2 linked regions of the Macaca fascicularis genome follow. The protein of the gene in region 1 binds, or shares a complex with, the protein of each later gene. Links are inferred from orthologs where the notes say so. Each region holds a gene or a part of one and is shown in the gene's direction. Other genes may lie near its edges.

The links.
Region 2: the proteins of TNKS (region 1) and USP25 are in contact, whole or in part, in a crystal structure (PDB 5GP7), measured with the Homo sapiens proteins. The link is inferred for Macaca fascicularis from reciprocal best matches to the Homo sapiens genes TNKS and USP25. Residues at the interface, in NP_003738.2 of Homo sapiens: Arg836, Ser838, His842, Leu843, Gly846, Tyr847, Leu871, Asn876, Ser879, Tyr880, His882, Asp900, Trp902, Phe904, Glu909, Gln912, Lys913, Gln934, Glu935; in NP_037528.3 of Homo sapiens: Ser1046, Ser1048, Arg1049, Thr1050, Pro1051, Ala1052, Asp1053, Gly1054, Arg1055.

Annotation. Positions count from the first base shown.
Region 1 is NC_088382.1:11,155,771-11,159,419, reverse strand, and holds part of TNKS (poly [ADP-ribose] polymerase tankyrase-1), read left to right. Parts: intron 1-684; coding exon 685-922; intron 923-1,617; coding exon 1,618-1,700; intron 1,701-3,649.
Region 2 is NC_088377.1:31,489,222-31,492,970, reverse strand, and holds the start of USP25 (ubiquitin carboxyl-terminal hydrolase 25), read left to right. Parts: upstream 1-1,065; 5' UTR 1,066-1,472; coding exon 1,473-1,517; exon of another isoform or gene 1,518-1,767; intron 1,768-1,884; exon of another isoform or gene 1,885-1,994; intron 1,995-3,749. UniProt on the Homo sapiens protein: Deubiquitinating enzyme that hydrolyzes ubiquitin moieties conjugated to substrates and thus, functions in various biological processes including inflammation and immune response.

The DNA of each region.
Region 1 (3,649 bases):
TAGCCCAAACTTCTGTACGGCATGACAGATGGCTTCTAAGAGAGTAAAAGTAGACACTGCCAATCCACTTAAAGCCTGGCTCAGAAGCCTCAGAACATCACTTCTGCATTCTATTGGGCAAGACAACTCACAGGGCAAAGCACATTCAAGGTGGGTAGAAATTCAAGGGGAGGCATGCATGTCGGGAGGAAGGAATTGATGGCTGGCTGTCTCTGGAGACTATCTCCCGCATACTCGAAAAGCAGTTGCATCTAATACTTAAAAACTGTAAAGTTTATGAATAAATGAGCTAAGAGTGTCATCCCTTTGAAATTTCACCAGATGCTAATTTTACATGACATTATTAAGTGTAAATAACCAGATTATTATAGCTGTTTAAACATAAACAAAATATAGTAAATATGGAAATTTTTCTAAAGAAGGGTGACAGTTAACACTGAAAGTGCTTTTTTTTAAATGAAAGAAGAAATATTTTTAAAAATTACATGGTTTCTCCAATTCTGTCTACTGAAACTACTGAAACTCTAAGCTGTGGATAGGAGAAGGAATGATCAAAAACCAGAAGGGGATAGATAATGAGGCATTCATTAAGGAAAAAATCCACAAAGCATTTGGTTCTTAGTGAAAAACTTACCATTTCAATATATAGTCTTTTCACGTTTTTTTTTTTAATCATTTTTTTAGGCTGACGATATCAGAGCTTTGCTGATAGATGCCATGCCCCCAGAGGCCTTACCTACCTGTTTTAAACCTCAGGCTACTGTAGTGAGTGCCTCTCTGATCTCACCAGCATCCACCCCCTCCTGCCTCTCTGCTGCCAGCAGCATAGACAACCTCACTGGCCCTTTAGCAGAGTTGGCTGTAGGAGGAGCCTCCAACGCAGGGGATGGCGCCGCGGGAACAGAAAGGAAGGAAGGAGAAGGTGAGTAGACCCCGTGAATGCTTATTTATTTATACCTTTTGTTAGTGGAGCAGAATTACTTTTTTCTATTGATAATTATTGAACGCCTCCATTAGAGACGTCCTGTCTGTAAATTTTCATACACACAACATCTTATAAGAAATATTTCTTCATAGAAGACTGCCACATTTCTTGGCATTGCCATTGTTCTTACTTCTGTATATTCTAGAGCATCTGTTTACAACCAGCATCTTATTGAACCACTTATATTGAAATTATGTCAGAACACAACTGAGAGGTCATTTCAGGAATGAAAACTAAAATGATAGCTGATACATTTAGATTTTTTAATTCATTAAAAGCTTTAGATTTCTCTATATAAGTAGCATTCTATAGTATAAATATTATACTATAATATTTTAAAATTAGTATTCTCTATATTTTTATAAATTACAATAAGTTATAATTCTATATTCTAACCATATTAGAATTGATACAAATACTAATTTGATGAAGATAAAACGCTCTGCTTTTATTTCTCAATCAACTTGAGAAATAAAGTGTCTGAATTAAATCTGTGTATTCTGTATTATTTTATGCCATGTAAAATCATCTGACAGCCAAGGTTGTCAGAGTCATGTCTTTAAATGGATACTGAAATTTTCTTTATATTTAGAGAATTCTTTCTGAGAATCTTGAATATGTTTCTGTTTTAGTTACCGGTCTTGACATGAATATCAGCCAATTTCTAAAAAGCCTTGGCCTTGAACACCTTCGGGATATCTTTGAAACAGAACAGGTAAACACTCTTTTATATATTTGAGTCATTTAAACTAAATACTAAGAATTAGGCTGGATGCAGTGGCTCACACCTTAATCCCAACACTTTGGAATGCTTAGGCAGGATTGCTTGAGCCCAGGAGTTTGAGACCAGCCTGGGCAACAAAGCGAGACCCCCATCTCTGCAAAAAAAAACCGAAAACATGTTTTTAAGTTAGCTGAGCATGGTGACTTACTGGGCTGCTGGGAGGCTGAAGCAGGAAGATCACATGAGCCCAGGAGTTTGAAACTGCAGTGAGCTGTGATTGTGCCACTGCATTTCAGCTTTGATGACAAAGTAAAACCCTATCTCAAAAAAAAAAAAAAAAAAAGAATTATTAATTGCCACCCACCTCTTTTCTCTTTTGCTTCTTATGAGCTATTTTTAAACCCACAACACATTTCTATAAGAAGCCAGAGGAGCCCAGTATTTTATACTTCTCCCCAAAATTGTCTAACAATTGAGAGTCTTTATTTTGTTTTATCTTTATAAGCAGCCTAGCACTTTGCATTTTATTACATGTCAAAGCTTTGACCATGCAACTACCTCAAAAGAATGTTTTCGTAATTGTCCTTGGTTGTTTTGTTTCCGAAAAGTGTCAGTCTTTATTCATCTCATTTCATTATTCACGTGACTAGGCTCCTGAAGCAGTTGCCCATTAATTTGGAAAGCACAGTAGTACTTAGACAAGTGCACCTTTTAAGAATCGCCCCTTTATGAAGTTTCTCTTGTCCACTTAGAATCTTAAATAATCTTGAACCAAAAGTTGGCCATACATTCCAATAGACCCACCCTATTTTGGGATCCATCTTAAATGTCTGTGAGGGTCTAAGGATGGAGTCATCATTAGGGCATTTATGAATTTAGGATTATTCTGTTTGTTTTACTGTTTTCATACAGTATAAGGAGTTGTAATATTGTATGCTTTCATCATTATGGTCAACTTTAAATATTGAATGCTGGTAAGTCCTGAATTTAAATGGACTATTGATATACATGAAATTTTAGAATGGAAAAGGTGTTTAGAGAAAATTTAGTTATTCTCCCAGGTGTAGGGATCGCCCTTGTATAATAACACCCATGTTAGTCCTCTAGCCAGGGAAGATACCTTGTTACAATTTGGGACAGGTGTAATAGAATGCTTGTAACTTAAAGTGTGCCAAAAACTGCTGGTAGGTATAATTCATTTGTTTTGGGCTTATGCTCACCCTGTTTTGCACAGAGATCTAATCTCCAGTCTACATATGTATTCAGTTTTACAGGACTATACTCCCTACAGAGGCTGTAGGGGAGAATCTATTCCATGCCTCTTCTTGCTTCTGATGGTTGGCAGCTTCTTTGGCTTGTGGCCACGCTACTCCAGTCTCTGCTTCCATCTTCACATTGCCTTCCTGTCCTCTGTATCTCTTCTAAGGACATTTGCATTGAATTTGAGGCCACCAGTATAATCTCCTCATGTCTAGACCCTTAACATAATTTTGTCTGCAGATACTCTTCTTCCAAAGAAGATGACATTCATAGGTTCTGGGGATTAGAACATAGACATATCATTTTGAGGGCCACCATTCAGCCCACTACAACACAATGTGTCCCTTTATATCTTTTTAAGACCTAGTCAACTTATCAGAGGTGTCAGCCTTTCAACCACCTACCTCTACACATCTTCCCCTATTTTAGAATACATCTGTTTTTTCAAGTATTCTTTATATGACATAATTTTCCAATATTTCACTCGCACCTTTGGCCCACTATGGTTCCCTTCTAGGCTTATAGTCAATTTGGAGTTAACTTAAAAACCAGGTCTTTTTTCTATTTTATATCAGTTATACTGTTAAGACTTTCTTCTGCTTTTTCTTTTTTTTAGCTACATTTTTTCATTATAGTTCATCTTTAATGCTCTTAATAACAACAGTTGAGTAGGGATAGCA
Region 2 (3,749 bases), on another chromosome or scaffold:
GCTACTATTATCCGTGATTATTAAATAACACCACATACTATTTCAATTAGCATTTACCAAGCTTGCTTTCCTTGTCATTGGATTAAAAATTATACCAGGATTTTCAAGTGTATTCTATTTGTGACAATATGCATTGATAACTTCTTTCCCCACACTGCTGCACTCTCACCTCCGTTCCCAGATTAGCTCCTGGAACTCGAGATATTTTTGTGGCTAGAGATTGCTTTCTTAATGTTAGGTTTTCCTTGCAATTCCATATATAGTCAAGTATTCCATGCATGGTAGTTAATTGTTTGCTTAATTTGGCAACTGGGATATTAGAATTATGTATCATCTAGGCAGTGATATTTTTGTAAGGTTGTTTGCTACATATATCCTATTTCATTTATATTAAGTCTTGGGAAAATAAACTTTATTTTTCCAGAGCCTAGCAGTGACTGACACATATTCGAATGAATGAAGTAGATGGAAAATGTCTATATTCATTTACGTAATGATTAGTTAAGGAGAAAAGTACTTCCCAGCATAAAGATTTCTGGCAATCCTTTGCTTATTTGACTTTTCCCTTCAGGCAAGTTCAAGGCTTGTGAAATTCCTAGAAAGGTGAGGGGAGAGAACGCGTGACACAGAAAGAGGCCGCAGTTCGGGACCCTAGGTAGTTTTGGGACGTTATGGGCATGCAGGGAAGTGTTTGCTTTGGAGGCTTTGGGCAAGCTACGGATCCGACAAACCCTGGGCGCAGGCAGGAACACTGCCCTCCGGCCTCCAGCCGCGCTTCGCAAAGCCCAGCGCCAGCGTCGCGCAACCTGCCGCAGGGGCGGCTCCCTGGCCGGGCAGCCGGGCGCGCCCTCGCCCCACCCGGGAACGCCGGCCCGCGCCGGGAGGGGCGGGGCTCCATGGCGGCCCCGCCCCGCCCCGCCGCCCGGAGGGTCACAATGTAGGGTTAGGGCGGCCGGCGGGCGGGGCTCTGCGGGGGAGGAGCCGCTGGGCGGGGGCGGGGACGGCGCGTGGGGGAGGGGAGGGGAGGGGAGGGAGGAGGACTCACAGAGGGAGGAGGACAGCGCCATTCCGGGCGGCCGCTCCCTCCGTCCCCTCTCTCCCTTCCCTAAAGCGGCCCGCGAGCAGCGAGCCGCCAGCTAAGGAGCGCGCGAACGCGTGACGCCGCCCGACTGGCCCGCGCTCTCCCGCGCCCCGGCGTCCTCCGCCCGCTCATGGCCCGGGCCGCCGCGGACGAGCGGCGCTGAGGCGGGCCGCGTGGAGACGTGGGGCGGCCGCCGTGGCCCTCGCAGTCGGCGCTTCGCCGCCTGCCCGCGGTGCCCGCGCACGCCGGCCGCCATCGCCTTCGCGCCTGGCTGGCGGGGGCGCTGTCCTCCCCGGCCGTCCGCGCCGCTCCCTGGAGCTCGGCGGAGCGCGGCAGCCAGGGCCGGCGGAGGCGCGAGGAGCCGGGCGCCGCCGCCGCCGCCGCGGGGGCCATGACCGTGGAGCAGAACGTGCTGCAGCAGAGCGCGGCGCAGAAGGTGAGGCGAGCCCGCGAGCCGGCGGGCCCCACTCCTCCTTCCGACGGGCTGTCCTCCCCCGCCGCGGCCGGGCGCCCCGGCCTCGCCGCCGCCGCCGTCCCCGGCTTCCTCCACCGTCACCCCCCGCCCCTGCCCATCGCCTCGGGGGCGTCGCGCCCAGTGCCCAGCTGCGTGTGGGAAGCAGAGTGTAGTTTGCGGGCTTCAGTCCACTTCCTTCTGCCGATTGTTTTCCCGTAGCAGACGGTGCCAGGTATTGAGAGCGACCCTCACATTCCTACAGTGCTCTGTGTGGCTTCTTAATGAAACTTTATTCTCTCCCCTTAAATAAGAAAGAAGAGCCAGTTGTCATCCTTTCTGAACCCATTTTGTCTTTCGAAGGTAGTAGTGTTACAGGCCTGCTGTTTTGCAAAACGGTCTCCAGCAAAATCGAATTACCTGCCTTGCGGGGCAGTCGTGTTGACCAGGTGGACTCTAGAAGTAGGTGATTTGCTTGGTTTCTTTTCCTTTTAAGGTTTCCCTTTTTTCTTCTTCTTCTTTTCTGCTTTTTTTTTTTTTTTCAATATGGTAACTGTCTCTAAGAGAGGAAACCTTTCTGGCCATGTTATTCCAGGAATCTTTTGTCCCCTAAGTTTGACCTTGTTCCTTCGTTCACTCTTTACTCTTGCATCAGTCACACATTCAAATGGTCACTCACTAAAGAAAACCATTTAAAAAAAACTGTGAAGCTTTGTATCTTTAAAGTGAATAGTGAGAGATCATTCTGCTATTTTAGACTTTGCTTTCAGAATCTTAAGTGCACTATCATGGCTTGCACCATATTCTGAAGAGTAGTTGGCCATAATTTAATTTTTTTTTTAAATTTTTCATTTGCGTGAAAAGCATTTTGGGCAAAAGGGGTCAACCGTGCCTTAGTCGTGTTGGAATTACGGGGACAATTAGGGTTTACTGTGATCAACCACCAGAGTTGTGTTTGGTTAATCTGGGTGAGTAATGAATGCCCCGCCCTGGTGTAGTTTTGGTGTAGCGATATTCTACCTGTGCTTGACTTTGCAATAAGACCTGTTCTAAAATGGGCTGTCTACATACAGCCTGCTAAATTTTTGCCTTGAGATTATTTTTAGAATTTTATGATACTGCTTTAAAGTAGTCGAAGATACTCAAGAAGTTTGGAAAGCAAGGATAGTGCATTGTTATTTTAGGCACGTTGGGAAAGTTTTTGAGACTCGTATGTTAGTTGATATTACTGGTAAAGTTAGAAGGATATTGCACACTGCACTTTATTTACGGTGAAATAATTCAAGACTTAATAATGAGAGTTTAAAAGAGTTTACTTCCTAATCCTCCCTATTCTATTTTGAATACCTTCAAATTTAGTTTTTAAAGACTTAAGGCTTACGAAAGACCATATGGTCATGTGAATACTAAGCACTGTTTAATATGTATGGTACTATTTGTTTATAATTGTCTTCAGTGTTGAATATTAAAGTCTGTTTCAAAGTGAGAAATACGAATTTTTCACATCTCCTAAGTTTGAACAATGGGAAGAACTTTGTAAGTTTGGGATTTTTTTTTTTTTTTTTCATTTGATTTTGACTGAACTGCATTAAGTAACTGCAGGCTCTGTTGCATGGTTCAGAGGTTATGCATAAAATTGTAGAATCAAGAATCAAGTTAACGAAAATGATCTTGGCTGTCAAGTCCAATTTCCTACTTTAATTAATCCCCTCCCCACACAAAGGGAGTAGTTAATTCAAAATATCATTATGATGTTATTTTTAGTATGGGTGTGTTTTAGATCATTTCATTGTTATTGGGGATTTTTTTTTAGAGAAGCTTTTATACTTCCATAATACTTAGATTGTTTTACAAAAGAAACACTTAAATGTGTTTGCTTTCCATATTAATACACGATTGCTTTATTACTCATATTAGAACTATTTAAAAATATTTATATGGATATAAATAAACCATCTACCTCAATAAGTTGACAGATTTAAATCCATCAAGCTGGTAACCAGGAAGCGCACTTAAAACTGGTAACTAGGAAGTGAACTTCACACTTAGAAGAAACAAAAGTGAAAGTCTGTTTTTACTCAGACACTTTATGGATTATCTAAAAGGAGAGGTGTGTAGTGTATATTGCATAGCCAACATTTTAGCCAGTTTTCTTCTCACCTTAAAAAATTGTGTGTACGTATATGTTTTTAAATTTTAAGTAAATAGTTGTATTTT